4 linked regions of the Saccharomyces cerevisiae S288C genome follow. The protein of the gene in region 1 interacts with the protein of each later gene in a biochemical or structural test. Each region holds a gene or a part of one and is shown on either strand. Other genes may lie near its edges.

Region 1 (8,093 bases):
GTCTATTTGTTCCCTCGATAACTGCTCAATCGCAACAATTTGTAAAGGTGCCGTACGATGACATCAAGCGTAGGAGCTCTCTGGCAATATTAGGCAGCGATTCATCGATATCTACCGAATTTGGGGGAAACTATCGCTTAGATGAAAACTTAAATGTCAGGCAAGAGGGGAAGGATATTGTAGCGAAAGGAATGATAACGCCCGTGGAGGAAATGGGCGCATGTTCATCTAACGTTCGTCGTCAGGGTTCACAATCTCTTCCAATTCAAGAACAGCGCGCTAGCCCGTACATTAACCCTTTTATCTCTGGGAGATCCAGGCTAAGCAGCCTTTCCTATACAAGTGAGGCTACAACTTCAGAAGGTAATACGCAAGGTAAAAACCAATGCATGCTTACTCCCAATAGTGTACGTTCCATTGAAAAGGAACGATTAAACTCGTTAACTGCGGGATTTCCGAACAAAAAATTAGGCACAGATGGTAGAAGTGACAAATGGGACAAAAATTCGACTTGGAAGCCTGTATATCGATCGTCGAATCCTTCTCATCCTAGCACTGAAAAAAATGTTTCCTTGAATCAGGAAGCCAGTGCTAAACCACTTATGCTTGGAACCTACAGACAGTTTGATGCAACCTCGTTCTACAAGGTTTTAGGCATCTACTATAACTTTTTCCATATTAATTTTCCTGTAATACCAATTAACAAAAGTAAATTTACTGACATGCTTGATCCTGAAAAGCCAAACGTGATTGATGAGATCAGACAAATTAACAATGAAATTATCCAGTGTTTTAAAACCGCGCTAGAGGTATTGGTATTTTGCAAAATAAAACAAAGAAGGTCATCGAAATCAACAAAATCATGGTCTCGTGACAGTTTATGCGATTTTCAAAAAGGTCTGTATTACATTCAGAATTTCAACAAATGTATAGCCGACTGCTTCCAAAGTTTAATAACTATAAAACCCGTATTAAAACAAAATTCCAGTGTTATTCCTTCAAGAATAAAGTTCATTTACTTTTCGACAATAATAGTGTTAAATTTTATCTTAATATTGGCCGGTGAGGAAAGCTCGCTTTTGCTAGGCCCCTCTGTTGGGGTTTTTAACGAATTTCAAGCTCATAAGTTATTTCTACCTTTTCAAAATACGTCCCCAATGCTATTATTAAATTCAAACGAGGAAAGTGGTGACGAGATACTGGATTATGCTGTGTTGTTCAAAAGGTTGTACATCCTTTTAAACATTCTGGATACGCTACAAAGCTTTCGGCTAGGTCAACCAAAATTAATTAATCTAAATTTTGGTAGCGCCATTGAAACATATTTTAGCGATAAAACAGGTCATAACCAAGTCGTCGAAAAAGCTCCCGTAGCTTTGGATAACATTCTACGAAACCTTAAACTTGGTGAATTTATAACATATTTTGTCCTTAACAGAAAATCATTGCAAGTAAATGTACCTCACCACTTGCTGTTCACAAATCAAACGGATTACGGAGAGTTCGCTGTTGAAAAAGGGGAACATGATAATATAGCTGGCAAATTTGAGACCCTTTTGAAGAAAAAGGAAATTTTAATCAGAAAATTACTAAATATTGAACAGAAAAATGACCATATTCTAGAAAATTGCTGCAATTCGGATGCTGAAATGAAAAATATCGGAGAGCTAGTCTGCTCAATGATCACTCTGGTATCAGGCATATTAGATTCAATTACTAATATGAACGCAGAAAACTCTGTTGATTTGGATTCAAAGCCCCTTCCGAACGCCTATTTTGCTCAGGACAGTGAAGAAGAATTAATGTCGCCAACACAAAGTATTACGTCAAATCTTGCCAGTGAAGAAAATACACGTTGCACAACCAAAGACTTGATGGGAACTGTTTCTATTTTCATGCTGCCAATGGTGGAAGAATGCTATAATATCATTAGTTTGATAGGACCCATACCTACCACATTAATAAGTTTATACATCCGTAATGGAAATATGGCCAAGGGAATAAATGACAGAATTATGACGTTGTCAACTGCGCTGAACGAATTGGTGCAAATAACCGCACTATTTAATACCCTAGAACCTTTTAGGAAGAATGCACATGACCGTGCTAAGCGTTACTATGTAAGTGCTACAAGTAGTACCGGATGCTACGAATCGGTAATGAAGAGCATGTATTCCGGAAAATGTGCAGCTAGTAACGCCTCAAACGTTGCGCCATCGGAGGAAGAAAACAAAAAGATATTGAAAAAGTTTGCCGACATAGGTTGGAAATTGATGGATGATTCAGAATTGGGTTGTTGCTGTTGCTTCTTTAACTAATATTCATGATAACAAGGTGAAAAATAGCATCCTAATGAAGGATAGATAAGTAGATTTTTTCTTTTAAAAACTATAGTACAAGGACATGCAAAGTCATATATCTAAACTAATTTTGGTACACGACCAACAAAAAAGGGTAACAAAGTACACATATTCGCGTCAATAATATGAACAAGTTTGTTTATTTGCTTTTCAAATTTTTTTCTTTCTCCAGCAAACAAAAGTCTTAATGCATTAAATAAGAACCTTCGTTTTTTCTGCTTCTTGAATTACCGTCGATGCCATTCGATTCGAACTTGTAAGAAATTTTGATATTTAGATCTCTGTTATTCTTCTCGTTTGGAGAGCAAACCAATTCACCTTCAATGGTGTCACCAGTTTCAGCATCTAGATCATCAGGGAAATAAAATATTGTTTGCTTCCAGTGAGTGTATGGAGCATGAGGACCAGTGGAGAACTCAACAGGTCTCTTACCCTTTGGTGCAGGGAAAACAATGTCGAACCAGGTGACTATACCATTAATCATATCTTGTCTCTTGGCCGTCAATTTAAAGTTACTCTTAAACGCTAGATCTGATATTTTTACTGTATTTAAATCAAATTCGATCAATTTGTCTGAGGTGGTGTTGACATTGTTTCTTTCCACGGTGTCGACGATGGGCTCGTGTAAGACCAACGGAACAAATGGCGAATAATCAAACCCGTAAACGTCTTGCCAGTAGTTCAACTTCTCGTCTTTATACTGAGAGTCTTCCAAACCGGCCAAATGAATGGAGCACTTGTCGGGAAAGATCAGACCGCCTTCTACCAAATAGTGGTCTCTAGCGTAAAGAACGGTGTCCATCATGGACTCGTATAGTAGAAAGTAACCCATCCATTCAGAAATTATGATGTCAACTTTAGGAAAGGGTAAATGAACGTCCTCCAACTTGCCTCTTAGCAAGGTGATCTTGTCGCTGAATCCGTTCAACTCTACCAATTCCTTCGCCATCTCAATAATGCTTGACATATCAACACCGATAACATGCTTCGCACCGTGTTTAGCGGCAAACATGGATAAAATACCGGTACCGCAACCGACGTCTAAAACAATCTTGTCCTTAAAAAGATCCTTATTTTGGATAATTGCGTTTCTGTAAGATAAGGTACGAACAGTATCTTGAAGCATCTCTTCGTGAATACCATAGTGATCGTACGAATTGAAGTAGTGCTGTTCGCTTTCACTTAGCTTGGTTTTTTCTGTAGCAGAATCTTTCACGGCTGTCTTGCTCATTATTTTCTTTGGATGAATTTGTCGGTTCTAACTCTTTTTTGGAAACGGCAAGGTGAGCAGTAGGCAGCTCATCTCTTCAACTATTTTTATAACATATAATTTCCCTTTGTGAAAAAATTTTCCCGCCATTTCCAAATTTCGGAATTCCTTTTTCTTTTTTTTCATCTCGGTATATTCTGACATATTACCCTATAGGCGGTATAAAAAGATTCATTATACAGTATAAAATAGAAAATGAGAGAATTATATGGTGTTAAATAGATCCTACATTGAATTTTTCATTAACAGTCCCTCATGGGGCTAGTCTAACGACTTTCCATGGATCGTTTTCTGTTTTTCTTCTGTAAACGAATCTATCATGCAATCTCGAGGGTCTACCTTGCCAGAACTCAATTTCCAGTGGAACGATTCTCAAGCCACCCCAATAATCTGGACATGGGATGTCTTCAGCATCCTTGAAACGTTCGGTGTTTTTTTGGGTCAACTCGTCTAGTTCTTCTCTGTTCTTGATAACATCCGATTGGCGGGAAGCCCATGCACCGATCTTGGATCCACGAGGTCTCGTCTTAAAGTATCTTTCAGAAGTTTCTCTGTTAACATGCTCTGTGATACCTTCAACTCTCACCTGCCTTTGCAGATCCTTCCAAAAGAATACGATTGCCGCATTCGGGTTGGTAGCAATATCATGAGCCTTTCTAGAGGTTCCCCAGTTAGAATAAATAGTAAAACCTCTATGGTCGAGCTCCTTAAAAAGAAGAATCCTGGACGACACCCTCCCACTAGGTAGTTCCGCGGATGAAAAAGTAATTGCTTCTGGCAACGTTTCCCTTGGGTCTTCCTTGGCTTCGTTGAACCATTTGGTGAAAAGATCGATTGGGTCGTCAGTAAGTTGTTTTTCATTCAAAGTAAATTTATCATATTGATACGTCTCAGGAGCAAATATGATTGGCTTTTGGGTCTCCTCAGCTTGTTTAGTCATTTTCAGTGCAGATCCGTGAAGTGTACTACTGGTCTAGGTAGAGTATCTTTAAAATATCTAATCATGCAAATTAGTCATTTCTTCTTTCTTATAAGTTGCGGCCCCTTCTAGTATTTACAATTTACCCGGCGCTGGTTCTGGTGGCATCTATAAGAGCTCTATCTGGCTGCTAAGCAGACTTGCTGTTACTTGTATGTGCTGTTTATCAAGATTGGGGCATTACGCATGTGTATGTGTGAACTACAGTAGTGTTATGAAATACAGCCTGAAAGACGAAAACTTCACAACGGAACTTAAGCGGTTCAATAAACATCTATCTGCCAGCTTAGAGAGACTACCCGTGGTAGAGAAAGACACGGGCAGCCAAAAATACTGGGTGTTGTATATTTACTTGTGTTAGTTTATAAATAAATTTTATATCACTATATGTGTGGTGAAAAGGAAGAGCAATCCTGCTAAAGCTTTTATATCTAAACGCCAAAAAAATAAAAAAAAAAGGAAATGGGAGAAAAGTTTTCAGCGCGCGAACTCGCGAAAAAACTTCCTCTTTAGCAATGGTGACATATAGATCTCAAGGTTCTCAATTAAAAGACCTTCTTTGTAGCTTTTAGTGTGATTTTTCTGGTTTGAGAATAAAACTAGAGAGGAAGATAGGTACCCTATGAAAATGTCAATGGCTGTTGCGTTTGCTTAATCGTATTTTTTTTTTTTTCAGTCCGTGTTTTTTGTACATTCTACGTTTGAGTTTTCCATCATGCAGGCCTCAGAAATTTGGTAGGCACTCGATGGTGAAGAGATAGTGTCGGATTTCGGATTGATCTTTCAGTTGATAGCCTGCTGCTCTTTTCTTTTCCAAAGAATTTCGAGTATGCTGGTGTCAGTGTAGATGCTTGTGTGTGCGCAATTTGTGGTTTTTTATTGTGTTTCTACTTATAGATGGCTAAAATCTGAGTTTAGAAAATGCAAACCGTAAATTCTTAAACACTGCTATTGCATTTAGTTGCTAAAGCAGTGTTTTTGAACTTATTCCTGTTATTCCTTCTTCGTACCGATCCTCTTCTCGACCTAACCTTTTAATTACCATGGGAAGCCTACCATCACCACACCCACACACAAATGTTACAGCTAATTGTTTATTAGCAAAGTTTGCACGAGTTCGCTGTTTATTTTTTTCTCGTTTTCTTATACCTAGTATTTTTTCTGACACTGTTTAAGGTGACAGAAAAAAAGGAGTTTAAGTTAGATTTGCAAACAGACGGTGCTAAGCGCTGTCACTTTATGTCTATCTTATCGTTAACTCTGGAAAAAGAAAAAGGAAAAAGAACGTCAGGGAACATGAGTATATATAGAAATGGTTTATTCTAGTTTTTTCCGTTTTTTCAGTAGATTTTTGCCTTTAAAAGAATAAATCCCACTACAAAAAGGTAAAATAAAAAATCTATTCACTGAACTTACTGATGAAATTTCCAAATGTGCCCCGTACATCGAACGATGTGACAGAGAAAAATACGAGTAGGTAAATAAGCCAAAAGGCAAGGGTGTCCTTTCTTAAGCATCGGTTAGGTTTGCGGGCGATCAGTAACTGAACAATGACACAAGATCAAGAACGTAATTTGAGATTTTTCAAGATGGTTTTTTTAGGTATCTATTAAAACTACTTTGATGATCAATACGGTATTTTTGTCGCATTATTTTCCAAGCGGAAGGAACCGTGTGTTCATTTTATGAATCTTGGTGTTGTATTCACAGCTACTTCTCCTAATGCCTTCGATGCATTTAGATAATTTTTGGAAACATTTTTTTTCTTGATGTATATTTTTTGTATTGTAGAAATCGCGCGTACTGTACTTGTATATCGCTTTATAAGCGCTTTTAATTGATTGTTCATGACGAGGATAGGCGGATAGGCGGAGGTATGCCTCTTAATATTTATAATAAAGCCCACCAAATGGCTTCTTCTTTTTAGAATATACAATATACAAATAAAAATAAAAAAATAGAAGAACATCCTAGTAATTGTCTTGAAAATAATCAAGATATTGATTGGGATTTTTTATTTAGGGAAACCAAATAATTGCATATGCTTGTTACATCATCATCAGTCATATAAAGTATGTTGTCCGTACTAATGGTGGTATTTACCTTCCCCGAGTGTTACTGATAGGACCAACAAACTTACCGTTAGCATTATGTATCCTATGACTTCCCATCTCACAATTGTGGTTTGCGTAGGTTCGCAAACCCACTCAGCTAACCCCATAAAGATAATAGCTCCCAGGTTGCACGTCGTCAAATACTCAGCAGGGGCCTTGCGATTCAACTCTAATATCGAAATCAAGCTCGGCAAGGAACCAAAGATAATCGAGCCTAGTAGAGAGAACCAAAAGCTCTTGTCATTATAGAACAACGAAATGGATTCCACAGACTCACGGGAGGGAAATTTAGGAATAAATGGCAAAAGTATTACCATGCCAATAATACCGATTAGGGCCATGTGGGTGCTCTGCTTAACCAAGACTACAGCAGAATTTTCGTTCTTGGAAATGTTACTGCAAAACCAACGGTTCCATAACACGGCAAAAGGACCCATAATCAAAGCACCAAGGCCGCAAATCAGAGCACCTTTCAACCTATCAAACAAGAATGGGTCAGAAAGTTCACCCGTGTTAGGGTTGACGGACAGCTTTCCGGCAAGCATGTCACAGGTAGCCTTCGTGTATGAGATGATCAAAATTCCAATGACCGCGTTCATCATGATGAGGAAATTACGGAAAACGTAGTTCTTCCTGGAGATTCCACAAACACCATATAGTAAAGTGACAATTTCGAAAATGGCAGTATTTTGCATCAAAGCAACATCAAATGCCGGTGACAATGACAAAGCCATGTTATAAGTCAAATCAGCGACAATCATTATGAGAGCCAGCACTGTTAGCTTAGCCACATATTTGAAGGTAGCCACGGATATGATTTTTTGCTTCTGCTGTTGGGCTGGAATCCGTGGTTGAGGATCATCCAACACGTGCGAGAACGTATCGACATCTTCGTTTGTCACAGACCCGCTGTTGTTGTTGTCAAACTGAGAATTCCTGTTCGAGTCTGAGTCAGAGACAAACATCGGTCTCATCTTCTCCCAAAGTCGAGATGCAGGCACCAAGAGCAGCCACGAAGCAAAATACATAAAGGTCAGATAGAAGGTTAATGAACTTGAGTTTCCGTTGTCGCCGTTAGTTTCAGGCGTTGCAATTGTACCATTGGGCCCCACGGAGATTTCCTTTTTAGATTGTATGTTAGACAAACATTTTGTTTGAATCACGTAGCCTATTACACTTGAAAACCAAAGTAGTGTGGTAGACATGACGCTGTATCTTTGTTTGTTATCGTGCTAACTCACCAGCTCAAGAGCGGATCTGTTCTGGAAGAAAATGGCCTACAAACATTTCTTTCACTTGATCTTCCCACGTTCACATAGCCTCCTTTAGAGTGAGAGAGCTTTTTTTTTTCTTGCGATACACCTTCGCCG
Region 2 (7,765 bases), on another chromosome or scaffold:
CGATGTGCAATAGTAAGAATTGTGCTTTTATTAAACTCACTTCTTATAATACCCTGAATTAAATGGTCAGAATCGTAATCAATAGAGGAAGTAGCCTCGTCCAAAAGTATTATCTTTGGCTCGCGTAACAATGATCGTGCAATAAAAAGCAATTGCCTTTCACCTTGGGACAGATTTAAGCCGCCCTCAGCTATTTCTGTGTGAAGATTTAAAAATTTATTATGAGTGCTGTTAAAGCGTTCCTCCGAGTTAAGCACTTCTTCAAATTCATGTGAAGAAATTAGATTTACTTGTGAAAGTGCTTTGAATATTTTTTTTTCATCATATTCATCATATGGATCAACATTACTTTTGATTGTACCTGCAAATAGAATAGGGTCCTGAGGGATGATAGTAATGGAACGACGTAATGTAACGAGATCAATTTTACTTATATCCTGCCCATCTATTTTGATACATCCGGTTATTGGTTCTAGTAATCTGAATAATGCCGTTATTATGGTAGATTTGCCTGCGCCAGTTCTTCCGACAATCCCAATCTTACTTTGAGGATCCACTTTGAAACTAACATTTCTTATGACAGGAGGCAAATTTGGCGCGTAACGTAAAGATAAGTTTTCAATTTCAATTTCTCCATCTTTTGGCCACGATGGTTCGTTTAGAAGTAGAATGCGGCCTTCATCATGGCCAAGATAGTTCTCTTGTTCAATGCTAGAATATTCTTTTAGTCTTTCAACAGAGTTCATGTTCATTTCAAATGTTGAGTACAGTCTAACTAACCATAAAGCACCATCTGTAAACAAAATGGCATATGTCAAAGAAATGCCGGCAAGACCCGAGTCAATATTTGCAATATTGAGCAGAATAAAAGAACCTGATGCTAAAACAATGAATGCGCCAATCATGTCGACTCTAAAAGAAAACCATTTGACAGTAACTGATAAATAAAAGAATGCTCTGTTATTTTGGTCAATTTTGTTCATATTTTCTAAAATGAATCTCCTCTCGTCGCCAAATGCACGAATTGTGCAAACGCCTACCAAGGTCTCTGAGAAATGTTGAAAAATGGGTGATTTGGTTATTGAATCTAACCTTTTCAATTCTCTACTTGCCGTTAAGTACCATTTCCCCACAAAGAAATATAAAACAAAAACGATAACGGCGACTGTCAAAAAGCGAGGAGTTATTACGGTAATGAGAAATATAATTGATGCGCATTGAATTAGGCAAAATATAGTTACTTCTAAGTATGGAATCAATTCTTGATCAACACCTTCGATGTCCTTTGAAAAGCGATTCATGATTCTACCAACCGGCGTCACGTCGAAAAATCGTATTTGGGCATGTAGAACTAGATCTAGCAGATTATTAAAGATCTTTCTGGAGGCTCGCATACCGGATAAAAACGTCATCATTGTTTTAAAACCACCTAGCATTGCCTGAATGATACCAATAAGAAAATATACGGTTAAGTAATAAAATGCATTATGTTTATTTTTCGAAGAGTCGGTCATCCCTTTTAATGGCAGCGTGTCCATCGCAAAACCTGGAGCATTTATTCGTACATTGGTATCGTTGACCCAATGTCGTATCCACCAAGACTGACTGATGAACAAAATTTGAGCTGTGATATAAAGAGCGAACAGGGCTGTTAAAGCTTTGAAGCCTCCAAAAAATTTCAGGTACCATTTATAAACATCGGGGCTTATGGCACCGTTTGATTTTTCTTCCTCTTCTATTAGCTGGCCATCATTGACAAAATTTGCATCAAAATTTATGTTCTCGGTGACAGGTTCGATTTTCTGAGAGTCATTTTTTCTGGGAGCTTTTAATCTATTAGCGTTCTTTTCATTAATGCTATCTCGAGAAGAAAGTTGAACATATTTTTCCTTAAAAAGCCCTTTGCTTTGTAATTCTGTAATAGTTCCTTGATTCTTCACTTTGCCATTTTCCAACACAATCGCGAAATGGGCATTTCTAAGTGTTAATGAAACATTGTGCGTAACTAAAATGCAGGTTCTATTTTTCATTAGTGGACCTGTGATGCAATTTTCATAGATCCATACAGCAGTATGTGAATCGACAGCGCTCAAACAATCATCTAGTAAGACATGCTTAGCACTCGAATAAACAGCTCTCGCCAAGGAAATTCTCTGTTTCTGCCCTCCTGATAAAGTTATACCCTTTTCACCAATTTCTGTTAGGTCACCTGCTGGTAAAATCTCCAGGTCTCTTTTCAGCCCACATGCATCAATTACTTTGTTGTACCTATCCTCGTTATAGAAGTTATCAAAGATAATATTGTTTTTTACCGTGTCATTTAATAGCCACGCACTTTGTGAACAATATGCGAAGGAATTGGTTAAACCTTCGCAGTCGGGAATTAAATCATGCTTTGGTTCTAAGCTCGGAACAATGATAGAGCCACTAATTAGATTTAGTTCACCCAGTAAACCCAGCAGCAATGCACTTTTACCAGATCCTGTAGAACCCAAAATCAAATTTAACTTACCAATTTGAAATTTAATATTCAAACCACATAATTTGAATGCATTCATATCGCTGTCATTTTCATTCCAGGTTAAAGTCGCATTTTTAAATTCAATTTTATTTTTGTCTGGAGATATGGTTAGTTGATTATATTTTTCTGTATCGTCCATCCTTAAAAAATCGCTTATTCTTTTTAGAGAGACTTTTGATTGATTTATGAAACTTAGCATATTTGATAATTGATCCAGGGGTGTCTTTAACAAAGTGAAGAGTGACAAAGTAGTGAAAGCAAGCGGGGCATTCAAATCTTCATGTTGAACAAATGTACAGATGGCGAAAGTGACACCTGTCACCAAGGTCGGTGTCACGAACCAAAGAAAAGAAGTTACGGACCACACCAAAGATTTTTTTAATAAGGATCTTAATTCCTTTTGCCTTATTGATTTGATTTCATTTATAATATTCCTTTCCCAAGCAAAATATTTGACAATTCTTATGTTCTGTAAGCACTCGTTCAATTTTGAGATTCTTTGGTCAGTACATTTCAGTGTTTGCTTTTGAAACTTACCTAACAAATTCGCTAACAAGAAATTCAATGGGAACATCACTAAGATAATTGAAATTCCTGCAAAAGCTGAAACACCTAAAAAGTTGAAAAGTAGTCCTACAACAACTATTATCATAATTACTGCCTGAACTGTCACATAAAGGTAGTTTGCTAGTTCCGATACCTTAAATGAGTCAATAGAAATGAGATTAATTATGGTACCAAGGTTTGCGGAGATACTATCTGAATCAGAGCTGGTTTTTGGAGATGTAAACAGCCTCCTACGTAAGCCTTTTGCATAAATTTCTCCTATGAGTATGGCTCTTATTCTTAAACAAATCTTATCAGAAACAAATTGACCTTGGGAATTACAAATTGCTAATGTCAATCTACAAATGAACATACCAATAATATAAAGCCACGCCAAATTCATGCATGATGAGGAACGGTTTGGGTTATCCACAATTTCTAAAAATCTTTTCATTAAAATTGTGGGAAGAAGGTTTACAATACTGTTCACCAGAACCCATAACATTCCTATGAGTAAATATGTTTTGAAAGATTCAAACAGTGCTAGCGTCAAATTATTAATGTGCTTGTTTCTCCTGGTAAACCCTTTTAGAATGAAAATGCTATAGTCTTCCATTGATAAGCCCCAAATATCCTTTAACTTAATAGTGTTCTTTTGGGCCTCCCATATAAAATTGGTAATCCAGCTCCAAGTAATGCAACTTAAAATTGAGGATATGTGTTCCCTCGAAGGAGACGTATGGTCGTCTCTAACGTAGATGATGGATGAGTTGTCTTTAATCGGTGAAGTGAGCTTTATTGGCTGTAAGGTTGAAGTAATTACGAATTCAAAGATGTAAAATATCTGTGAGGGTACATCATCGATATTACCAATATAGACCGAACGAATTGGAATCCAGGTTGAAATCCAAATAGTTGTATGGGCAGTAAAACAGATGGCCCAAAGATTCGTTGAACGCTTGTAAACTCTTAAGATACTTAGGGAAAGTAGTATTAACCAAAATAATAGTAAAGTTGTAACATCTCTGTTCGTTAATTCAATATTGATTTTTGTTACTCTTAAAAAGGAAAGGCCAATTATTTGTAAAGACATTAATACAATTTCAGATGATTTTCTTAAGTGGTCACTAGTAGACGGTCTACTAAACGTTAGTCCACCATGATTTTTAGCATCGATTTGCTTGACATCTATAGTTGTTATATCAAAATGTCTAAGTTTCAAAATCCTTCCTTGCTTTTTGACGTTGACGTAATTGGCTTGGGTATTTGAGTTCCGTAGAAGTCTTTCTATACTATTATCTTCTTTTCTCTCTTCTTGTGCGCCAAATAGATATTCGTTCACTAAATCGCACTCGGCAGATCTTACATAACGAGATAATCCACTGCGACAAAGTGCGAAAATGCCAATTGAGGCTATGATAGCCAATGGTAAATAGTAGCTCAATAGCTGAGTTCTTCCTAAACGAGTAAAATCATCAACTTCCCAAAATGAACCATTATTTCGGATAATAAGGGGATCCGTTCCCATTCTCCGAGGTAGTGAACCATTGAGGTTGCAGCATGAATAAGATATAGGTGAGAGCTAGCGATTTGACATTTAGTACATAGATATTTATATATATATATAAGGGAGTTTTTTTTTATTTTTTTTTTCAAAATACGAAAATAGCAGTTCACGAGGCACTCACTTACTGGTTTTTAAAAGTGCACCCCTTTCGAAACGTTATGATGCAATCCTTCGTAGTGCTAAAGCAAATCATGTCGAAGAAGTTAAAGTAGTGTCATTGCAAAAAACTATACGGGGAAGTGTTTGAAAATAAAACAGGGGCGTCTCATTTTTACATATCATATATAGGTATACACGCATATATAAATACACATATTTCTTTTGCAGGGAAGGTGAACAAAAATACAAAACTCTAGCAAAAACTCAAGTTAGAAATAGGGATGTGGGTAAGAAGTAATTATTCTTGCTTTTCTTCAGAACCAGTTTCTTGCTCAATTTCTTCTTCATCATTTTCTGGTCTAATAACAGCAACATCTACAGTTAACTCCCTGTCACCGAAAACCTTGCCTTTAAATTCTTCAGCTTTAGCTTCAATATCAACGTTTTCACCACTGAAAGTGACAAATGCCATACCTCTATTAGCAGAATCGGATGTGAAGATCCTACCAGTGTGTTGGTCTCTCATTTTTCTCATTGGCAAAGAGATGGAGTCGGCGTCAGTACCGAAAAATTCAGCGACCTCCTCTTTGGTAGCTTTGAATGGGACGTTATTAATATATAAGGTATCCTTTGATCTTTCCATTTGGTCTAATGGAATCTTTTCCCTTTTTTGTCCATTGAAACCACCTCTGGCGCCGCCTCTACCTCTGAAGTTCCCTCTGCCTCTGAAACCTCCTCTGTAGCCGCCTCTGAAACCTCCTCTAAAACCTCCTCTGCCTCTGAAACCGCCTCTGCCTCTGAAACCTCCTCTTTGCATTTGGCCTGGAGTTCTAGCTCTCTTAATATGAATTTCTCTGTCCTTAACGACTTTCGTGTCATAATTCTCCTTGATATTATCAAAATCAATCTTGGTTGGGAACTTGACTAGAGCGTGTTTACTAGCTGGAATGTGACCGTCGGTGTGTTCCTTAATTGGGATCTCTACGCTGACTTCATCCCCGAATTCCTCCACAAACAATTGCTTCAAGTCGTCTTCGGTACATTCGTGAGCAACATTACCAATAAAGATTGTGTCCTCGGGGTCAATTACTGTCTTATGAGTAGGAGCCCTTGGTTGCTGTTCGGAGTCGTTGATGCTCAAGTTGTTTACGGCATTAGTAGCTTCTTCAATTTCAGCAGACATATTTTTCTTCGTTTGAGGGTTTTCTTCTTTCTTTTGGGGGAAACTTCTTCTCTCGATGTAGTGATAACTCAGTAACTTCCTTTAAATTTGCAGAATGATTATTTTGAGTCCAATTGCGTATCCTTTATGCCACAACCTGTGACACTCAGGGTGGCTAAATTAGAAAAATTTTATTCTGCTTTTCGACTAGTTTTGCCCCTTCCCTTTGGCGACGCGTCACCTGGGACGGGAATTTAAAGATAATAAAGAGGCAATTCATACAAATTTTAAAATATTTAGCGGCAGTAGTGACCCAAAAAATAGTGTACTATCATATTTTCACTACCATAATTGGCTGCAAAATAGTTACTAGTACAGGTCAAAACGAGCAGGGCCTTTTTAGGAGAAATTGTATATACTTTTCAATATTTTCCGCTCGATGATAAAATTGGTAAATTGTAGATCTAATAACTTAATTGCAGAGAAATTTATGTATTTGAGATCCCTAGATAGTGCCTACATTGCCTTAGCCTTAATTTTAAATATAAAGTTCCCCATACAAAATGCAAGTGTACAGCGCGGCCACCTGCAGAAGTAGCATGGTGACTCTTAGTGTGCGGCCTCGAAGTCTTTCATAACTGTAACGGACGTCTACTGACGACATTTCAAATGACATTACATTTATTCTTGACTCGACCAATGATCGTGGAGTTTCAAACATCGTTAAACACGCCATATCAGACTAACTGGACGCTGGCTTCAAGATTGCCAGCTGCACGGGTAGCGCAAGTGAGAATATGAATTTGAACTTCTTCCCAGCATCAATCCGATATGGCAATACTTATTTACAACGGTGACTACTTCTGTAACTTTGTCTCGAAACCACGGCTTTCACTCACTTCAATGGCACAATCATATCGCTTTTGGATGTTAATGACCTTCTGACCTAATAATCTTGGATGCGATCAACATAGCTTAGGTAATCCAAAACTACTAAGGCATGCAAAATTATTGTGATATTCAAAATAAGTCGATATGATTTTCCTATAATGAGGTACTTCCCATGGTCCAAGTATCAAAGCTTCAACAAAGCAATCACCTTAAAAGGTTATTTAAGGTCATTATTATATTAAAACGTTTGAAAATTAATATTATTATTAAAAAATAAATTTTTTATGCAAAATTTCTCATTTTCAATTTAAGCGGAGTCGGAGTTCTTAGCTCTCTTGTCCATCTTGGCTTGAGCCTTGTTACCAAGGATACCACCACCCCAGTGCTTCTTGACTTCATCGTATTTGTCAGCGAAGTTAGCGTCAATGGTAGAAACCAACTTAGCCAAAGCAGCTTCGTCTTCGGCTCTGACTTCAGTCAAAGCGGCAACGGCAGAGGTCTTTTGGTTAACCAAGGTACCCAATCTAGCCTTACCCTTGACAATGGCGTATGGAACACCCATCTTCTTACACAAAGCTGGCAAAAAGACAACCAATTCAATTGGGTCGACATCGTTAGCAATCAAAACCAACTTAGCCTTCTTGTTTTCGATCAAGGCAACAACGTGGTTCAAACCGTACTTGACAGCGTATGGCTTTGGAGAAGCATCTTGCTTGGACTTACCTTCAGCAACAGCGGCAGCTTCTTTGGTCAATCTTTCCTTCTTTTCAGCAGCAGTTTCTGGTCTGTACTTGTTGAACAACTTGAAGGTTTCGGCAGCGGTGTTTCTGTCCAAAGTGTATTGGAATTGAGCAATGGTTGGAGGAACCTTCAATCTGATGGACAAGATCTTCTTTTGTCTTTGCACTCTGACGTATTCTGGCCATTTGACGTATCTGGACAAGTTTCTCTTTGGTTGGACAGCTTGACCAATACCGAA
Region 3 (7,825 bases), on another chromosome or scaffold:
CATTTGTGTTATATTTTTCCAGAAGACCGTTCTTTAACTGAATAGATATAGTACCTTGAGATGTGAAGGATCCTCTAATGGAGCGTGGTCCATAGACAGCGGTAATGAGCGATGTTTGGTGTCCTAAGCTTCTAGCTTCTACTAATGCAGATCCATTGCAGTTTTCGATGAAACCGGTATGTAGAGAAAGTTCCTGTTCACTTTCATTGCCTTTAGGTGTCAAATCTGTTGATTTCTTTTCTGGCACATGAGTAGTAGTGTTGCTAAACGCCATTGGCTTGGCAGCAGCAGGGCCTAATAACCTCCTTCTGTCTTGAACATTCATTTATTCTGATAACACCTTAATGTGAGTATGTTCCTACTTTTAAGTGGAGTATGTGCTAATCCTTAAAGGAAGTTTTCGTGGCTCAATCAAGCACAACGCCCAAGCTTTTATTTAGATATTCATTTCATATTACTGAAATTTTTTGAGTATTTTCCAAGGCCTTGTAATCTTCCGTATCTAGCGATCTCATCTCATCGTGAAAAAAAAAAGAGTAAGCCATTCGAAGAAAAGTTGGCAAATAGAGATGGTGAATGAAAGGTTTAAGAATGTATCCTATTTACTTACTAATGTACACAAAATATTATAGACCAAATTTTTCCTCAAAAATGGAATATAGTAATTAACGTAAAAAGAGAAAAAATTGAAATTGAAATTCATTTCATTTTCTCATTAATCAAATGTTTTCTTTGAACCAGCGAAAGAAGCGGTATTTCTTGATCTGCCCAATGGAGCAGTATTAGCACCAGAACCAGATGGTCTGAAACCGCCACGGCCACCGCGAGCGCCACCACGACCACCGAATCCACGGTTACCGCCACGACCACCGCCACGACCACCAAAACCACGGCTACCGCCACGACCACCATCGTTGTTTGGTCTTGGAGAAGAGAAGTCTAATCTAACTGGTCTGTTGTCAATGTATTCACCTTGTAAAGCGTCTAGAGCCTTCTTGGCGTCCTCCATGTTGGAGAATTGAACATAACCGAAACCTTTTGGTTGTTCAGTTTCTGGATGTGTTGGGATACGGACGGAAACAACTTCACCGTGTTTAGCGAATAATTCGAAAATAGCGTCTCTGTCAGCATTGAAAGATAAGTTACCCAAGAACAAAGTGTCAGATGGTTCAGATGGGGTATCACCGAATTTCTTGGCACGATCGTTGTTACCAGCTGGCTTGCTTGTGGACATATCACAGTTGATTGGTCTACCATCAATTTCCTTACCTTGCATTTCTTGAATGGCCTTTTCAGCATAAGATTTGTTTTCAAAATCAACGTAACCATAACCACGAGATCTATCGGTACCTCTTTCATAAATAACTCTGGCACCAATGACACCACCGATGTGTTCGAATTCCTTCTTCAACCATTCGTCATCAATAGACCACGATAGTCTACCAACGAAAATAGTAGCTGGTTCTTCGGTTTCTTCATTTTTTTGCTTCTTGTTGGAAGACTCTTCGTCTTCTTCTTCTTCGGCGTCCTCAGATTTACGTTTCTTATCGTTAGACTCTTCCTTTTCGCTTTCGCTATCAGAAGATGAAGATGAGGATGAATCAGAGCTAGAAGATTCTTTTGATTCTTCCTTCTTGGTTTCTTCTTTTTCTTCTTCTTCTTCTTCGTCGGAAGAAGAGTCAGAGGAAGAGGAAGAGGAATCCTTGGATTCTTCCTTCTTGGTTTCAGCTTCACTTTCGCTGTCAGAAGACGATGAAGAAGAGGATTCAGAATCAGAGGATGAAGATGAAGATGAAGATTCAGATTCAGACTCAGACTCAGATTCAGATTCAGATGAAGATGAAGATGAGGATGAAGATTCGGAGGAAGAGGAAGAGACGGCCTTAGCTTTTTCTTCTTTGGCTTGTTTGGAAGCCTTAACTTCCTTCTTGTTACCTTTTACTTTAGTAGTCTTAGCCATCTTATTTTATCCTGCCTGGGTTGAGTGATCCGAAATTGGTTAACAGTTCGTCTTTGGGAAGCAAAAGTAAGAAAAATACTACGAAAGGAAATAACTTAAGGTACCAATGGATTGGGAAGTGCAGACAGCAACAGCTACACTTAAGTACTTTTAATATTGGATTGAAAATTTTCGTTCTTGCGATGAGCTGCCCTTGCAAATTTTTCACCAAAAAAAAAAAAAAAAAAAGAAATGGAGTGAAAAAAGAAACGAAAAAAAAGGGCATGGGGACCCATACATCAGGCACTTACCCCCAGGAAGGATTACGTCTTTAAATCAGAGGATCAAAGGGTAATTAACAACCACCAGTCGAATTGCTGTCGTCTTTCTTCAATTGCTTTATCCAAAAATCTGAATGGATGTAAGTATTGCCCAGTAAGTTTTCTTGGCAAAATAACCTATAGCGAAATAGACAATCAACGTGATGGGGTTTAAATAGCTAGCGGTAAGTAACCACTAGTAGAACGTAGCTCCATAGCGTGTAATTTGGCGGCAAAATATGTGAAGCAAGCATATTCGTTATTACTTAGCTGCCTGTGAAATCCTGTCTGTGCCTTCTCTTTGCCTTTACTTTGTATAAAAACATATCAACACTGTCTCTGCGTATGAGGCCGAGGTATTTAGAGCATAAGAAAAAATGTGAACAAAAATAGTGTCATCTCCAGTAAGGCTTAAATGTATATTGATTTTCTATATATATATATATATATATATATATTTATGAAATAAACCATATAATTATAAGTAGTAGCTTGGAAAAACGCCAAAGTTGTACTTAGAATGAGGTTTTAAAAAAAAATTATAAAAAAAAACCAAGCGAGAAGTCACGCTTATAACGCAAGTGCACGAACTGCATATGTGTTGGATTGCCAAAGATCAATAGGAAGAATATATTTAGAGAAACTCTGTTTTCTTATGTATCTCGCTTACAGCCTATTTCAATGAACCAGTTTGGAATCTCTTTGCCATGAGATCAGCCTTTAAAGAGTTTGAGCCATCGAGACTGTAATTGGAAGAACGCCTTCTCCTGTCATGAAGAAGAGCACCGGATTCGGTTAAATCGCTAGACGAAATGCCGCTTAGAGAACGTGGAAGAAGAGTGTGATGTGGAAGATCGGCGGAGGGAAGGTTTCTGTTTGTTGTTGGTGCTGAGTGGATTTTAGTCTCAATGGGGAAAATCGTGTCTGAGATGCTTGTTCCGTTAGATATGGAAGCGTTCCGGCTTGACCTTCTGGCGGAATGGGAAATGTGGGTCATGGAGTCCTTGGGTGTTAAGGGAAGTACGGTGTGTCTGGATGCACCATCTGTGAGCTTTAGCTTTGGAGTGTCGAGGGTGTAACCATAATTGCAGTCATCATCATCTAGGATGGCAGACTCGCCTTCGAAAAATGGAGACGACCTTCTAGCCGGGACCGGATGGTGCAGTTGATTTTTTAACCTAGAGTTTTCTTCTTTTAAAGTTTCAATTTCCCGTAGAAGTCTTACTACAATAGCGTCTTGCTCCTTTTCCATTTCGTTTATTATTTCTTCCCTCGAAAGCCTTCTCTGTGCTGACATTGGTGACGAAGAAGGAGACGACGACGTCGAAAGTCTGCGAGGATCACGTGCTACAGCTGGTCTCATGGCTCTTGTAACTGAAGTTTGTCTCTCTCTGCATGGTTTGGCAACAGCCTTCTTGTGTTTTGATTCTTTATTCATGTTTACGGCTCTGGAGGTAGCGATCATTATACTTTATCTTCTATTAATGCTATGATTGATGAATTATACGTATGTATGTATCTGTAAGAAAATAGCCGAATGATTGATTATCTTTTCTTATATATGATTCAAGGGAACGAAAAGAAGACAAGATAATGTTAGGCAAGATAGTTTTTTAGACGACTGAGGCCGAAGATAAGCTTTATATATATGCAAGTCTATTTTTGTACGGGCGAAACCATCTAAGCCAACGATAACAATAGCCAGCTATGATCGTTGAGTACAGCGTGGGGCAATTTTTAGCGTGATTGATAAGGGCGCATTATCTCATCATCCATCGCCAATTTGGGACTCTAACGGCAAACCTCGGATTTCCGTGGAAACGCATGGAAAAATTGATCCGGGCTGTGAGGGGAGTCGAGTCAGTCACTTTTTGGCAACTCTCTCCGTCATGACCACTACTCCGCGGTAGCTGCCAAATTTGGTATTTCCAGGTTGTTTTTTGTGGACAGCCCGCGATCATATGTAAGAGCAGGATGTGTCATCCGCGGGTGAGGTAAACGCTGGCTTGCCATTATGGTTTTTTGGTACGTGTTGAACACGTTGCTTACGATCTTGGTAGGGGCGGGCTGTGATGTGAGAGCCACAAACCCGCTTCCTCGTTGTGGCTCTGGCGCTCCGTTTCTTCTTTCCCCCGCCTTGTAATATGTCGTGCATGCGTCCATGATGATATCGTATTTATTGTATATTGTGGTGATTTCGGCATATTTTAGCACATCTGTAGTATACCACAGAGCTAAAACAACCGATTATAGTCAACATTATACAGCATTATGTCTGGATACTTCAACCATCTTTCTTCGAATGCACATTTCGCAAATATTCAAGCCGATCAGGGCTTCATAGGTGATGCTACTGGCACAAGCAGCGATCATGGCAGTAGTGGCATGGTTGATTTTGCCCTACAACTCGGAGAACTGAGCCTAGAAGAGAAAATACTTAAAGAGTTCACCTTATTCCAGAGCAAGAACATGGACTTATTGCAAGAGACGGCGACGGCGTGTCCGAGTACTAATCCTTCCTTGAGACAGAGCCGAATTCAAGGCTGGTGAACGCCTGATGCGAGCTATACGTTTTGTGCTCACCGTGCACATATGGTGGCTACTTTTCTACTCAAACACGTTTGAAAAACGGCATACGATTAGCTTACAGATTGAACTCAAAGAAGTCGCAATGGGAGGTGCAGAAGATGACGTGTTACTTAGTTTATAATACAATGTGTTTTATATATCGATTCTTCGTTTATGCATTTCTGGACGATTGCTTTTCACTGTAAATACGCACTAATATTCATGAATATAAAAAAATGTAACATCATATCTCAATGTTCTTCTCCGTCAGTCAGATAGTGGCAAGGCTGTGATAGGACATTCTTAGAACGCCAAGAAAATCAAAAATTTGAACGGTATCTAAATTCATTTGTCGAACCCTTGAAGAAACTCACAGAGCGGGGTATCTACTATTTTGTTTTCGTTCTTTTGAATCTCCGCTACGTCACATTTTCTACAACCCTCAGGTCCCCTCACCACGAAAATCCAAGATTTGTAAAATATGAGCCGCGTATTTCTGCAATGGTAGAAACGATAATGTACCTATCGTACAACGATACATTATTTTAGTGCATTATAAGCCGCTTGATTCATGTTGATAATTAGCGGCTAAATTGTAGTAGTCATTCAAAATAATCGTACACCTTCATATAGTTATGAAAGGGGTATAAAAGATGAACGCTCGTTGGCCATGTCAAAGGTGCCTTAAAAATAACAATGCTTGCGGTAGTACGTGTGCAAAGTGTATATTCGCATGAGAGGTGATCGGAAATTGCTTTATCGCCCCACTAATTCTGATTCTTATTCAAATATTTATGTCACGTAGCGAGCTTACTTATCCATATATCAAAGGAAATCCAGATATAAACTCAAACTAATTCTTCTGTTTCCACGTAACTAGCATTCACATTGTAGTTTTCTAGATTACAGCAATTTATATATATTGTTGGAATAAAAATCAACTATCATCTACTAACTAGTATTTACGTTACTAGTATATTATCATATACGGTGTTAGAAGATGACGCAAATGATGAGAAATAGTCATCTAAATTAGTGGAAGCTGAAACGCAAGGATTGATAATGTAATAGGATCAATGAATATTAACATATAAAATGATGATAATAATATTTATAGAATTGTGTAGAATTGCAGATTCCCTTTTATGGATTCCTAAATCCTCGAGGAGAACTTCTAGTATATCTACATACCTAATATTATTGCCTTATCAAAAATGGAATCCCAACAATTACATCAAAATCCACATTCTCTACATGGTAGCGCCTATGCTTCGGTTACTTCTAAGGAAGTCCCATCAAATCAAGATCCGTTAGCCGTTTCAGCTTCCAATTTACCGGAATTTGATAGAGATTCCACTAAGGTTAATTCTCAACAAGAGACAACACCTGGGACATCAGCTGTTCCAGAGAACCATCATCATGTCTCTCCTCAACCTGCTTCAGTACCACCTCCACAGAATGGACAGTACCAACAGCACGGCATGATGACCCCAAACAAAGCTATGGCCTCTAACTGGGCACATTACCAACAACCGTCTATGATGACGTGTTCACATTATCAAACGTCACCTGCGTATTATCAACCGGACCCACACTATCCGTTGCCACAGTATATCCCACCACTGAGTACTTCCTCACCTGATCCAATCGATTCACAGAATCAACACTCTGAAGTACCTCAAGCTGAGACAAAGGTGAGAAATAACGTCTTACCACCACACACTTTAACATCAGAAGAAAACTTTTCTACATGGGTTAAATTTTACATCAGATTTTTGAAGAACTCTAATCTCGGTGACATCATTCCAAATGACCAGGGTGAAATCAAAAGTCAAATGACTTATGAAGAACATGCGTATATATACAATACCTTCCAAGCATTTGCCCCATTTCATTTATTGCCAACATGGGTAAAACAAATTTTAGAAATTAATTATGCTGACATCCTTACAGTCCTTTGTAAAAGTGTGTCCAAAATGCAAACTAACAATCAAGAATTAAAGGATTGGATAGCTCTTGCCAACCTTGAGTACGACGGAAGTACATCTGCTGATACATTTGAAATTACAGTCAGTACGATCATTCAGAGGCTAAAAGAAAACAATATCAATGTTAGCGACAGATTGGCCTGTCAACTAATACTTAAAGGTCTATCCGGTGACTTCAAATACCTACGTAATCAATATCGTACCAAAACGAACATGAAACTTTCCCAATTATTCGCTGAAATTCAGTTAATATATGACGAAAATAAAATCATGAATCTAAATAAACCGTCCCAATACAAACAACACAGCGAATACAAAAATGTTTCTCGCACATCTCCAAACACGACTAACACAAAGGTTACAACTCGTAATTATCATAGAACAAATAGTTCAAAACCAAGAGCAGCAAAAGCTCACAATATTGCTACATCTAGTAAATTCTCAAGGGTGAACAATGATCACATTAATGAATCAACCGTTTCATCACAATACTTAAGCGATGACAACGAACTTAGTCTTAGGCCAGCAACAGAAAGAATCTAAGCCAACACACACAATAGACTCGAATGACGAACTACCTGATCACCTTCTTATTGATTCAGGAGCTTCGCAAACGCTTGTCAGATCAGCCCATTATTTACACCATGCAACACCCAATTCTGAAATAAACATAGTCGATGCTCAAAAACAAGACATTCCTATAAATGCCATTGGTAATCTTCACTTCAACTTTCAGAACGGCACCAAAACATCAATAAAAGCACTACACACACCAAACATAGCCTATGATCTATTAAGTTTGAGTGAGCTGGCTAATCAAAATATTACTGCCTGCTTTACCAGAAACACTTTAGAAAGATCGGATGGTACAGTACTAGCTCCCATAGTCAAACATGGAGACTTTTACTGGTTATCTAAAAAATACCTAATTCCTTCGCACATTTCAAAGCTAACAATAAACAACGTCAACAAAAGCAAAAGCGTAAATAAATATCCATATCCGTTAATAC
Region 4 (9,118 bases), on another chromosome or scaffold:
AGGACTATTTCCTTTTGTGATGGTTTTGTGTCATTTGGAAACGAAGCCAATGAAAATAGGTATCCAGCTTATACTACAAGTCCCTTTCATGGGTTTAGGAATTCACAAAGAGAATAAAGAATTCTACTTGATATTATGAAATTTTTTACATTTGTTCTATCAGTTAGTAAAATAAATTTTATTGCGCTGTCATTTCTTGCGTTGCGGTTTCTACGACGTTCGAAGACAGTTAGAATCTTGTGCGAAAATGTTTCGAACTATGCCATCTTTTAAACCCGATACATATTCCAGCGAAATGGCTACTATCATCCTTTATACTAGCAGAAAATAAAACTGAAATAACGGGTTTATCACAGTTTACATGAGTTGCCATTAGAAACGAAACGGGCGTGAAACCGTAAATTGATGTAGATATTTACATTCGTTTGCACCTCTGGCGAATTTAAGGAAACACAAACGATCTTTCAGGTAATAATGCAAGGTAGAGTGAAAAATCTACTAATTGGACCTTGACTTGGCATCTATATGTATAAAAATATTAGTAGTTATACACAACTTCTAGTATATTACCTGGCCTGTTCTTGGTGATACTATATTCTAGTTACTAATTATCAAAACTGACGATAACTAGGAGCCGTTTTAAAGATACAGCTTTCGGGGAGACAAGTAAGAATTTAATTCTTGGATATTTCAAGATGAAGCGGTGGCTCAATGGTAGAGCTTTCGACTCCAATTAAATCTTGGAAATTCCACGGAATAAGATTGCAATCGAAGGGTTGCAGGTTCAATTCCTGTCCGTTTCATTTTTTATACTGCAAGTGATAATTTAAGGATGGTTAAATGAAGGAAACGGTGTACTAAATGTGCAGGGGCGTCTCTGCTGTCGCGTTTACCGATTGCTTTTTATTGTACCTTTTCTATTCTTTTTTTTTTCGGTTCAATTCTTGTAAGTCCACTGACGGACAAGAAATGTTGACAGCGGTAATAATGTCTTGATATTGCTAAGCGGACCTATGTTATTATGTTCAGCAGCATTTATGTAGAACTTTAGCTGATCTAATGATCGCTAATGTTATTCTTGTATGAAATGCCTAGACAATTAGTATAAAATTTGTGTGAGGTTACGTATGCTAATTGCAATGCAAAGCGATATTATCATATTTTATGTTAATTATTCTAATCTCATACGTATATTCTATCCTATCTCGTAATGGTTACTAGCCAAATTCGCCCGTATGAATATGTTCTTTTTATATCAGTTCATATTCCTTTTGATTTAAATGATACTTCTTTTTTTGCAGCCTGAATAGGTGCAACAGTTGCCATCCATTACATTAGTGTTTTGATGAGCACGAAACAATGTCATAGGCTTATCTGCCCCCTAGGCACAACGTTAATTTAACATTTATGACTGAATGGAAACCTGAGGAAGCTATATCGATTGGATAACGGGATCATTATATCCTGAGATAAATGCACTAATGTCGAAGTTCAAAATTTTCTGTAAGAAACTGCTGTAGTTAACAAACTAAACTATATTTCTGACCCGAAGGTATTGTCTTAAAGCTGGCGTGTTTCATAAAGTAAATATTGGTAAAGAAGTTGCCTGCATACAGAGTATTTTCAAAGATACATATTCAATTTAGAACAAGAAATGCAGATTATATTCATCTCTCATGAATGATGTACAATTGTATTGTAACAAGGCTGGGACTTTACAGAGAAAAATAATTCTATAATTAGGAAGCGACCCAATTCAAAGACTAAAAAGTAATTTGAAATGGGGTAAAATGGAATAGAGAGGTTCTGTGGAATGTCATATTATGTAATGTTGTAAAGTTAATGGTGTATATTTTGAGAAGCTATTGGCAGAAGGATTAGCGTTGCTAAGAAAATGTTGGATCACTATCGCAGAGGGTTTAAAGAGAATGATTGGAAAAAAATATCTAATTCACTGAAGCAGAATGGGAACTACTATTTAAAAACATGACGTATATACTAGTAATCTTTCAGTCGATCTGGTTGGAAGTACTATAGCAGAACGAGGTACAAAAGAGTGCACATTTATCTTTCTGTTTTATCTTTTTTTTTTGTTCTTCGAGATTGTCTAACAAAACAAAATAAAAGTATACGGACTAAAAGTAAATAAAAAAATATCTTTCATAATATAAAGATATGCATATATACAAATAGCGGGGAAGTATTTTAAACTTTATAGGCAAAAATCTCTTTAAAAAGCTTTGCACAATGAACAGACGCACCCATTCTTGCACACAAAAGAAAAATGCCACTAAATTTTCTATGTAACGAGTATGTTTCCTCTGGTGGCGGACATAGTCTTTCATTCAACATTAACCCGATATTACCTCTAATCCTGTCTGAGACTGTTTGATCCTTGAAATCGAAAGATTTATCTACATCACCCCTAAAAGGTTCACCAAGTGTAAGTACACTATCGACGTGCGCGTCTTTCATGGACTGCGATTCTAAGCCTGTGAGATAGCCCAGTTGTACAGACATTTCGTACGCCCCTTTCCTATCTCTCAATGTGGCGTAAGTTAAAAGTTTTCTATATTTTAGAATAAAATCTTCTGCAAAAGGTCTGGAGGCACCGAAATCCAATAATTCAATTTTCTTTGTCCTACCGTTATAGAGGAAATTTGCCCAATTAGGATCCGTTTGCATATACTTGAAAGTGGCAATTTCTTCCAGACATAGTCTCATGATATTCTCCGAAATAAAATTTTTGGTTTCTTGTGATGCCTTGGGCAATTTCATTATTTCAGTTCCCTCCATACGTGTCATAGTTATAATATTATCGGTTGTATATTCAGGAAACACATGAGGAACCTCAAACGCTGGGTCATCCTTTAGCAACGCCTCAAACTTTTGTAGAGCTCTAGCCTCTCTGTTGTAATCACATTCCCATTTTAACTCAGTTCTAGCGTTGGCAATTGTCTTATCCAAAAATAATCCCTTCGGTAATAAACTTGAGGCTGTAAGTAACATTAGTAAACTATTCAAATCCGAATCAATGGATTCTTTAACCCCAGGATATTGAATTTTGACAACCACTCTTTGACCACTGGGCAACTCTGCCGCATGTACCTGTCCGATACTAGCAGCTGCCATAGGTATCTTGTCAAATTTGGAAAACTTTGTCTTCCAATTAGCACCTAATTCCTTGGCCATAACCTTTTCCAATTGCCTTTGAGGCATATGATTTGCACTATTCTGTACCCTTGATAAAATTTCGTATAATTCCTTTGGCAACACTTTCTCATCCTGAAAAGACAATAGTTGCCCTATTTTAAGGGCAACACCTCTCATTTTAGAAAATTTATTGGTAATTCTGTCAATATTCGAATCTGATAGAATCAAAGATTTCCAAGTGGGAGAATTGCCCTTTGCAACTTCCGATATGCCTTTTGCTGCGGCATTCATGCCCACCCCTGCTGCCAGTGAGCCATAATGGAACAATCTCGATATTCGTGAAGTTGGTACACTGGAACTTTTTAATGTATCCTTTTTTTCCTCCTCATGCTTCCTTTCTACGTTTTCTTCACCTTCTTTGGCAGATTTTGTAGTATATTTCTTACTCAACGATATTGAAGAAACAGAAGAAATTCTCCCGTTCTGTATAGTTCTTAAGAGACGGGATGAACAATACAATCTCCTTAAATTCCTCAATTTCACCATATTTGTAACCATATCGAACGATATCTTAGCCGAACAGGTCCCAATAAGGATGCCAAGGAAGCGTACTGAGTACAGTACCAGAAAGATCTTAACTAATTAAGATCATCTAAAAAAGTACTGGGTACTATTACAGATCTAAAGCTTTACAAATGAATATTACCCGGATCATAGTTTGCTGACTGATAGTATATAGTTATGGACAAATTTCATCATTTTCCAAACTAAGGTCGTTTAGTTTTACGCTCTGTATTCGTTTGCTGTTTCAACTGACAGTATCATTTCGGAGTCCCATAAATCTACCAGATTGCTTTTTATTGATCTAGCGATCTTATACACAAGTCCTTTTTTATTTCTTTTTCTTTTTTTTCGGTGCCTCTGAAAAATTTTCAAATGCGAGATGAGGTGAAAAGAAACTTATTCAATTGTAATATTTAACACGTTTACGGGGATGCGATTGAGTAACGATAGTATAACCTTATAAACGCGCATAGAAAGATTAGGACTGCAAGAATAATAATGGGTTCCAAAAGAAGATTCTCGTCCGAACACCCGGATCCAGTTGAGACCTCTATTCCTGAGCAGGCCGCCGAGATTGCGGAAGAATTATCCAAACAGCATCCTCTTCCATCCGAAGAGCCACTTGTCCATCATGATGCTGGTGAATTCAAGGGCTTGCAACGTCACCATACTTCAGCAGAAGAGGCCCAAAAACTTGAAGATGGAAAAATAAATCCATTTACCGGTAGGGAGTTTACACCAAAATATGTTGATATCCTGAAAATTAGAAGAGAATTGCCAGTACATGCCCAGAGAGATGAGTTTTTAAAACTTTATCAAAATAACCAGATTATGGTTTTTGTTGGTGAAACAGGTTCCGGTAAAACGACACAAATTCCTCAATTCGTTTTATTCGATGAGATGCCACACTTAGAGAACACTCAAGTTGCATGTACTCAACCTCGTCGTGTCGCAGCAATGTCTGTTGCACAGAGAGTTGCTGAGGAAATGGATGTCAAGTTGGGCGAAGAAGTTGGTTATTCTATCAGATTCGAAAATAAAACTTCTAATAAAACGATATTGAAGTATATGACTGATGGTATGTTGTTGAGAGAGGCAATGGAAGACCATGACTTGTCGCGTTATTCATGTATCATTCTGGATGAAGCGCACGAACGTACACTAGCTACTGATATTTTGATGGGTCTTTTGAAGCAAGTAGTCAAGAGGAGACCTGATTTGAAGATAATTATTATGTCTGCTACTCTGGATGCAGAGAAGTTCCAACGCTACTTCAACGATGCTCCATTACTTGCCGTTCCGGGCAGAACATATCCAGTTGAGCTATACTATACACCGGAATTTCAAAGGGACTATTTAGATTCTGCCATTCGTACTGTTTTGCAAATTCATGCCACTGAAGAGGCTGGCGATATTTTGTTATTTTTAACTGGTGAAGATGAAATTGAAGACGCTGTCAGAAAGATTTCCTTAGAAGGTGATCAATTGGTTAGAGAAGAGGGATGCGGACCTTTATCCGTATACCCACTGTATGGTTCATTACCACCGCATCAACAACAAAGAATATTCGAGCCTGCTCCAGAGTCACATAATGGTAGACCAGGCAGGAAAGTTGTTATCTCCACGAACATCGCTGAAACTTCTTTAACAATTGATGGTATTGTCTACGTCGTTGACCCAGGATTTTCAAAGCAAAAAGTTTACAATCCAAGAATTAGAGTTGAGTCTTTACTTGTTTCCCCTATCTCCAAGGCTTCTGCCCAACAAAGAGCTGGTCGTGCTGGTCGTACAAGGCCTGGTAAATGTTTCAGATTATACACTGAAGAGGCATTCCAAAAGGAACTGATAGAGCAAAGTTACCCAGAAATTTTACGTTCCAATTTATCCTCCACCGTTCTAGAACTAAAAAAATTAGGTATTGATGACTTGGTCCATTTCGATTTTATGGATCCACCGGCTCCGGAAACAATGATGAGAGCCCTTGAAGAACTAAATTATTTGGCATGTCTGGACGACGAAGGTAACTTAACACCCCTAGGTAGATTGGCATCCCAGTTTCCCTTGGATCCTATGCTAGCGGTGATGTTAATTGGGTCCTTTGAGTTCCAATGTTCTCAAGAAATACTAACTATAGTGGCCATGCTATCGGTTCCAAACGTGTTTATTCGCCCAACAAAGGACAAGAAGCGAGCAGATGATGCCAAGAATATCTTTGCTCATCCAGACGGTGATCATATCACCTTACTAAATGTATATCATGCGTTCAAATCGGATGAAGCTTATGAATATGGTATCCATAAGTGGTGCCGTGACCACTATCTAAATTACAGGTCCCTTTCCGCTGCTGATAATATCCGCTCCCAATTAGAAAGATTAATGAACCGTTACAACCTAGAATTAAACACTACAGACTATGAAAGCCCTAAATACTTTGACAACATCAGAAAGGCTCTTGCGTCTGGGTTTTTCATGCAAGTAGCAAAAAAAAGATCGGGAGCTAAAGGATACATCACAGTTAAAGATAACCAAGATGTTCTGATCCATCCTAGTACGGTTCTTGGCCACGACGCAGAATGGGTCATTTACAATGAATTTGTGCTCACATCGAAGAACTACATAAGAACTGTGACCTCGGTCAGGCCCGAATGGCTGATTGAAATAGCGCCTGCATACTACGACTTAAGCAATTTCCAAAAAGGTGATGTCAAATTATCTTTGGAAAGGATCAAGGAAAAAGTTGATAGATTAAACGAGTTGAAACAAGGTAAAAACAAAAAGAAGAGTAAGCACTCCAAGAAATAGACATTTTGTGTCGAAAAAAAAAAAAAAATAGATTTATATAAATTTATAGGACTATTTCATAGAGAGAAAATTCAACTAGAAATAGGTACACGTAACCTAAAGCTGCTTGTACTAAAATCATAGCGCCCTGTATCAAAAAGAAGCTTTTTTCTTTTGTTGGGTATGTCTATATAGAGCACATCCTATATTCCCTTCGAGGTGTTTTTACAAGAACAAATAAAGAAACAAACCGCGGTGTGAGGAAGTTCCCTTAAAAATGGCAAAGATTACCGTAAAGGTAAATTACTCCTTTAACGATGCTTAAAACGAGCATCTTACTCTTGCAACGAAATTAATCACTCAATTTCAACGAGGATGTTGGCTTCCCATCAAAGTAGTTTTGGGGTAAACCGCATATATCTGTATATTAAGAAAACTTATTTTCCACTATCTAATTTGAACTACAGAGAAGATAAGAAATCTTTTAAGTAGCAATCATGTTTTATCTAAGTGACATCGAGGAAGAAGCCTCGGCTGGGGCTGAACCAACTTATAATTTCTGGGAAGTTTTGTTATTCTCCAATACTCAAGAAAACCTCGTCACCGTTGTCGGAGAGTTGCACACACTTACCGATCGTGTGGTTCATTACAAAATTGAGCCTGAATCAAGGGAAGTTACTGCCACAACACTGCCATCTTTGTTAGCACTTTTGCTAGAAAAAAGGAACCAGGCGAGACGTTTATATAGGGATGTGCTTTCAATGAAAATGTCAGAACTGGACTGGGACATCGACGATTTGTTCACACAGTTACAAGAAGAGCTAACAAGAACTGATGACACTCTTTCTATGTATCCTAGGAGAAGGTTCTATCACTAGCTTGCTCAACGCGACCTTATACACAGAGTTTAATGTGAAGAGAACATTCATATACAATTATATAAACATTGTTGTATTCTCGTACATCGTTACACAAAATACGAAGCGGGGAAATAGTGATATTCGCTTCGCTGGTGGCAAATGGGAAAAATACAAAATTTTACACATCTTTCTTCCAAATACTTCCATAAAACATCTAAATATAGTGGTTTCTAATTATCTCTGATCATAAGGAAGTGGAAGTACATCAGAAATGTCTCAAGAACAGTACACAGAAAACTTGAAGGTTATCGTTGCCGAAAAACTGGCTGGTATACCAAACTTTAACGAAGATATCAAGTATGTTGCGGAGTATATTGTCTTATTGATCGTTAACGGTGGTACTGTTGAATCTGTCGTAGACGAGCTGGCTAGTTTGTTTGATAGTGTTTCGAGAGATACGCTTGCAAATGTTGTTCAAACAGCCTTTTTCGCATTAGAAGCTCTGCAACAGGGAGAAAGTGCTGAAAATATTGTTTCCAAAATTAGAATGATGAATGCGCAAAGCTTGGGACAATCGGATATCGCACAACAGCAACAACAGCAACAACAACAACAGCAACCAGACATCGCGCAACAGCAACCTCAACAGCAACCTCAACAGCAACCTCAACAGCAACCTCAACAGCAACCTCAACAGCAACCTCAACAGCAACCTCAACAGCAACCTCAACAGCAACCTCAACTTCAACCACTTCAGCCACAACTAGGGACCCAGAATGCAATGCAGACAGATGCTCCTGCAACTCCATCCCCCATATCAGCCTTTTCCGGCGTTGTTAACGCTGCAGCTCCCCCTCAGTTTGCGCCTGTAGATAACAGCCAAAGGTTCACTCAACGTGGCGGAGGCGCCGTTGGAAAGAATCGTAGAGGTGGTCGCGGTGGGAACCGTGGAGGACGCAACAATAATTCCACACGTTTTAATCCGTTAGCAAAAGCACTTGGAATGGCGGGTGAGAGTAATATGAACTTCACTCCAACCAAGAAAGAGGGGCGTTGCAGATTGTTTCCTCACTGTCCTCTTGGTAGATCATGCCCACATGCACACCCAACTAAGGTATGTAATGAATATCCAAATTGTCCAAAGCCTCCCGGAACTTGTGAGTTTTTACATCCAAATGAAGATGAAGAGTTGATGAAGGAAATGGAAAGAACTCGTGAAGAATTTCAAAAAAGAAAAGCTGATTTATTGGCGGCAAAAAGGAAACCGGTACAAACTGGTATCGTTCTGTGTAAATTTGGGGCTCTGTGTTCCAATCCATCATGCCCATTTGGTCATCCAACACCAGCAAATGAAGATGCGAAAGTCATTGATCTAATGTGGTGTGACAAGAATTTGACATGTGATAATCCTGAGTGTAGAAAGGCCCACTCTTCATTGTCGAAGATCAAGGAAGTAAAACCAATAAGCCAGAAGAAAGCAGCTCCACCTCCGGTTGAAAAGTCCTTAGAACAATGTAAGTTCGGTACGCACTGCACCAATAAACGTTGCAAATATAGACATGCTCGTTCTCATATTATGTGCCGTGAAGGAGCAAACTGTACTAGAATTGATTGTTTATTTGGCCATCCAATTAATGAAGATTGTAGATTTGGTGTCAATTGTAAGAATATTTACTGTCTATTCAGACATCCTCCAGGCAGAGTACTTCCGGAAAAGAAAGGCGCTGCACCCAATTCAAACGTTCCTACCAATGAAAGGC

What was found.
Region 2: of the proteins of HMT1 (region 1) and SBP1, one has a biochemical effect on the other in vitro, tested with the Saccharomyces cerevisiae proteins (3 studies listed by BioGRID, with this or other methods).
Region 3: of the proteins of HMT1 (region 1) and NSR1, one has a biochemical effect on the other in vitro, tested with the Saccharomyces cerevisiae proteins (2 studies listed by BioGRID).
Region 4: of the proteins of HMT1 (region 1) and PRP43, one has a biochemical effect on the other in vitro, tested with the Saccharomyces cerevisiae proteins (one study listed by BioGRID).

What each region holds. Positions count from the first base shown.
Region 1 is NC_001134.8:302,386-310,478, forward strand, and holds HMT1 (protein-arginine omega-N methyltransferase HMT1), read right to left. Parts: upstream 3,592-8,093; coding exon 2,545-3,591; downstream 1-2,544. Other genes in the region: EDS1 (Eds1p), read left to right, coding at 1-2,318; pyridoxamine-phosphate oxidase PDX3, read right to left, coding at 3,884-4,570; CSG2 (mannosylinositol phosphorylceramide synthase regulatory subunit), read right to left, coding at 6,696-7,928. UniProt on the Saccharomyces cerevisiae protein: S-adenosyl-L-methionine-dependent protein-arginine N-methyltransferase that catalyzes both the mono- and asymmetric (type I) dimethylation of the guanidino nitrogens of arginine residues in a variety of RNA-binding proteins such as heterogeneous nuclear ribonucleoproteins (hnRNPs) and small nuclear ribonucleoproteins (snRNPs).
Region 2 is NC_001140.6:28,162-35,926, forward strand, and holds SBP1 (Sbp1p), read right to left. Parts: upstream 5,917-7,765; coding exon 5,032-5,916; downstream 1-5,031. Other genes in the region: putative ATP-binding cassette multidrug transporter VMR1, read right to left, coding at 1-4,595; 60S ribosomal protein eL8 RPL8A, read right to left, coding at 7,094-7,765. UniProt on the Saccharomyces cerevisiae protein: Functions in the transition of mRNAs from translation to an mRNP complex destined for decapping. High-copy-number suppressor of decapping defects. Overexpression suppresses decapping defects in both DCP1-2 and DCP2-7 mutations.
Region 3 is NC_001139.9:805,697-813,521, forward strand, and holds NSR1 (Nsr1p), read right to left. Parts: upstream 1,961-7,825; coding exon 716-1,960; downstream 1-715. Other genes in the region: exosome non-catalytic core subunit MTR3, read right to left, coding at 1-325; RTS3 (Rts3p), read right to left, coding at 2,933-3,724; YGR161W-C (uncharacterized protein), read left to right, coding at 4,531-4,809; YGR161W-A (gag protein), read left to right, coding at 6,042-7,358. UniProt on the Saccharomyces cerevisiae protein: Involved in pre-rRNA processing. Specifically binds nuclear localization sequences. Candidate for a receptor at the nucleus that may be involved in both RNA and protein transport. Binds telomeric sequences of the type (TG[1-3])n in vitro.
Region 4 is NC_001139.9:279,035-288,152, reverse strand, and holds PRP43 (DEAH-box ATP-dependent RNA helicase PRP43), read left to right. Parts: upstream 1-4,215; coding exon 4,216-6,519; downstream 6,520-9,118. Other genes in the region: YGL118C (uncharacterized protein), read left to right, coding at 1-139; protein kinase COQ8, read right to left, coding at 2,206-3,711; GPG1 (Gpg1p), read left to right, coding at 6,996-7,376; mRNA-binding protein NAB2, read left to right, coding at 7,630-9,118. UniProt on the Saccharomyces cerevisiae protein: Pre-mRNA processing factor involved in disassembly of spliceosomes after the release of mature mRNA.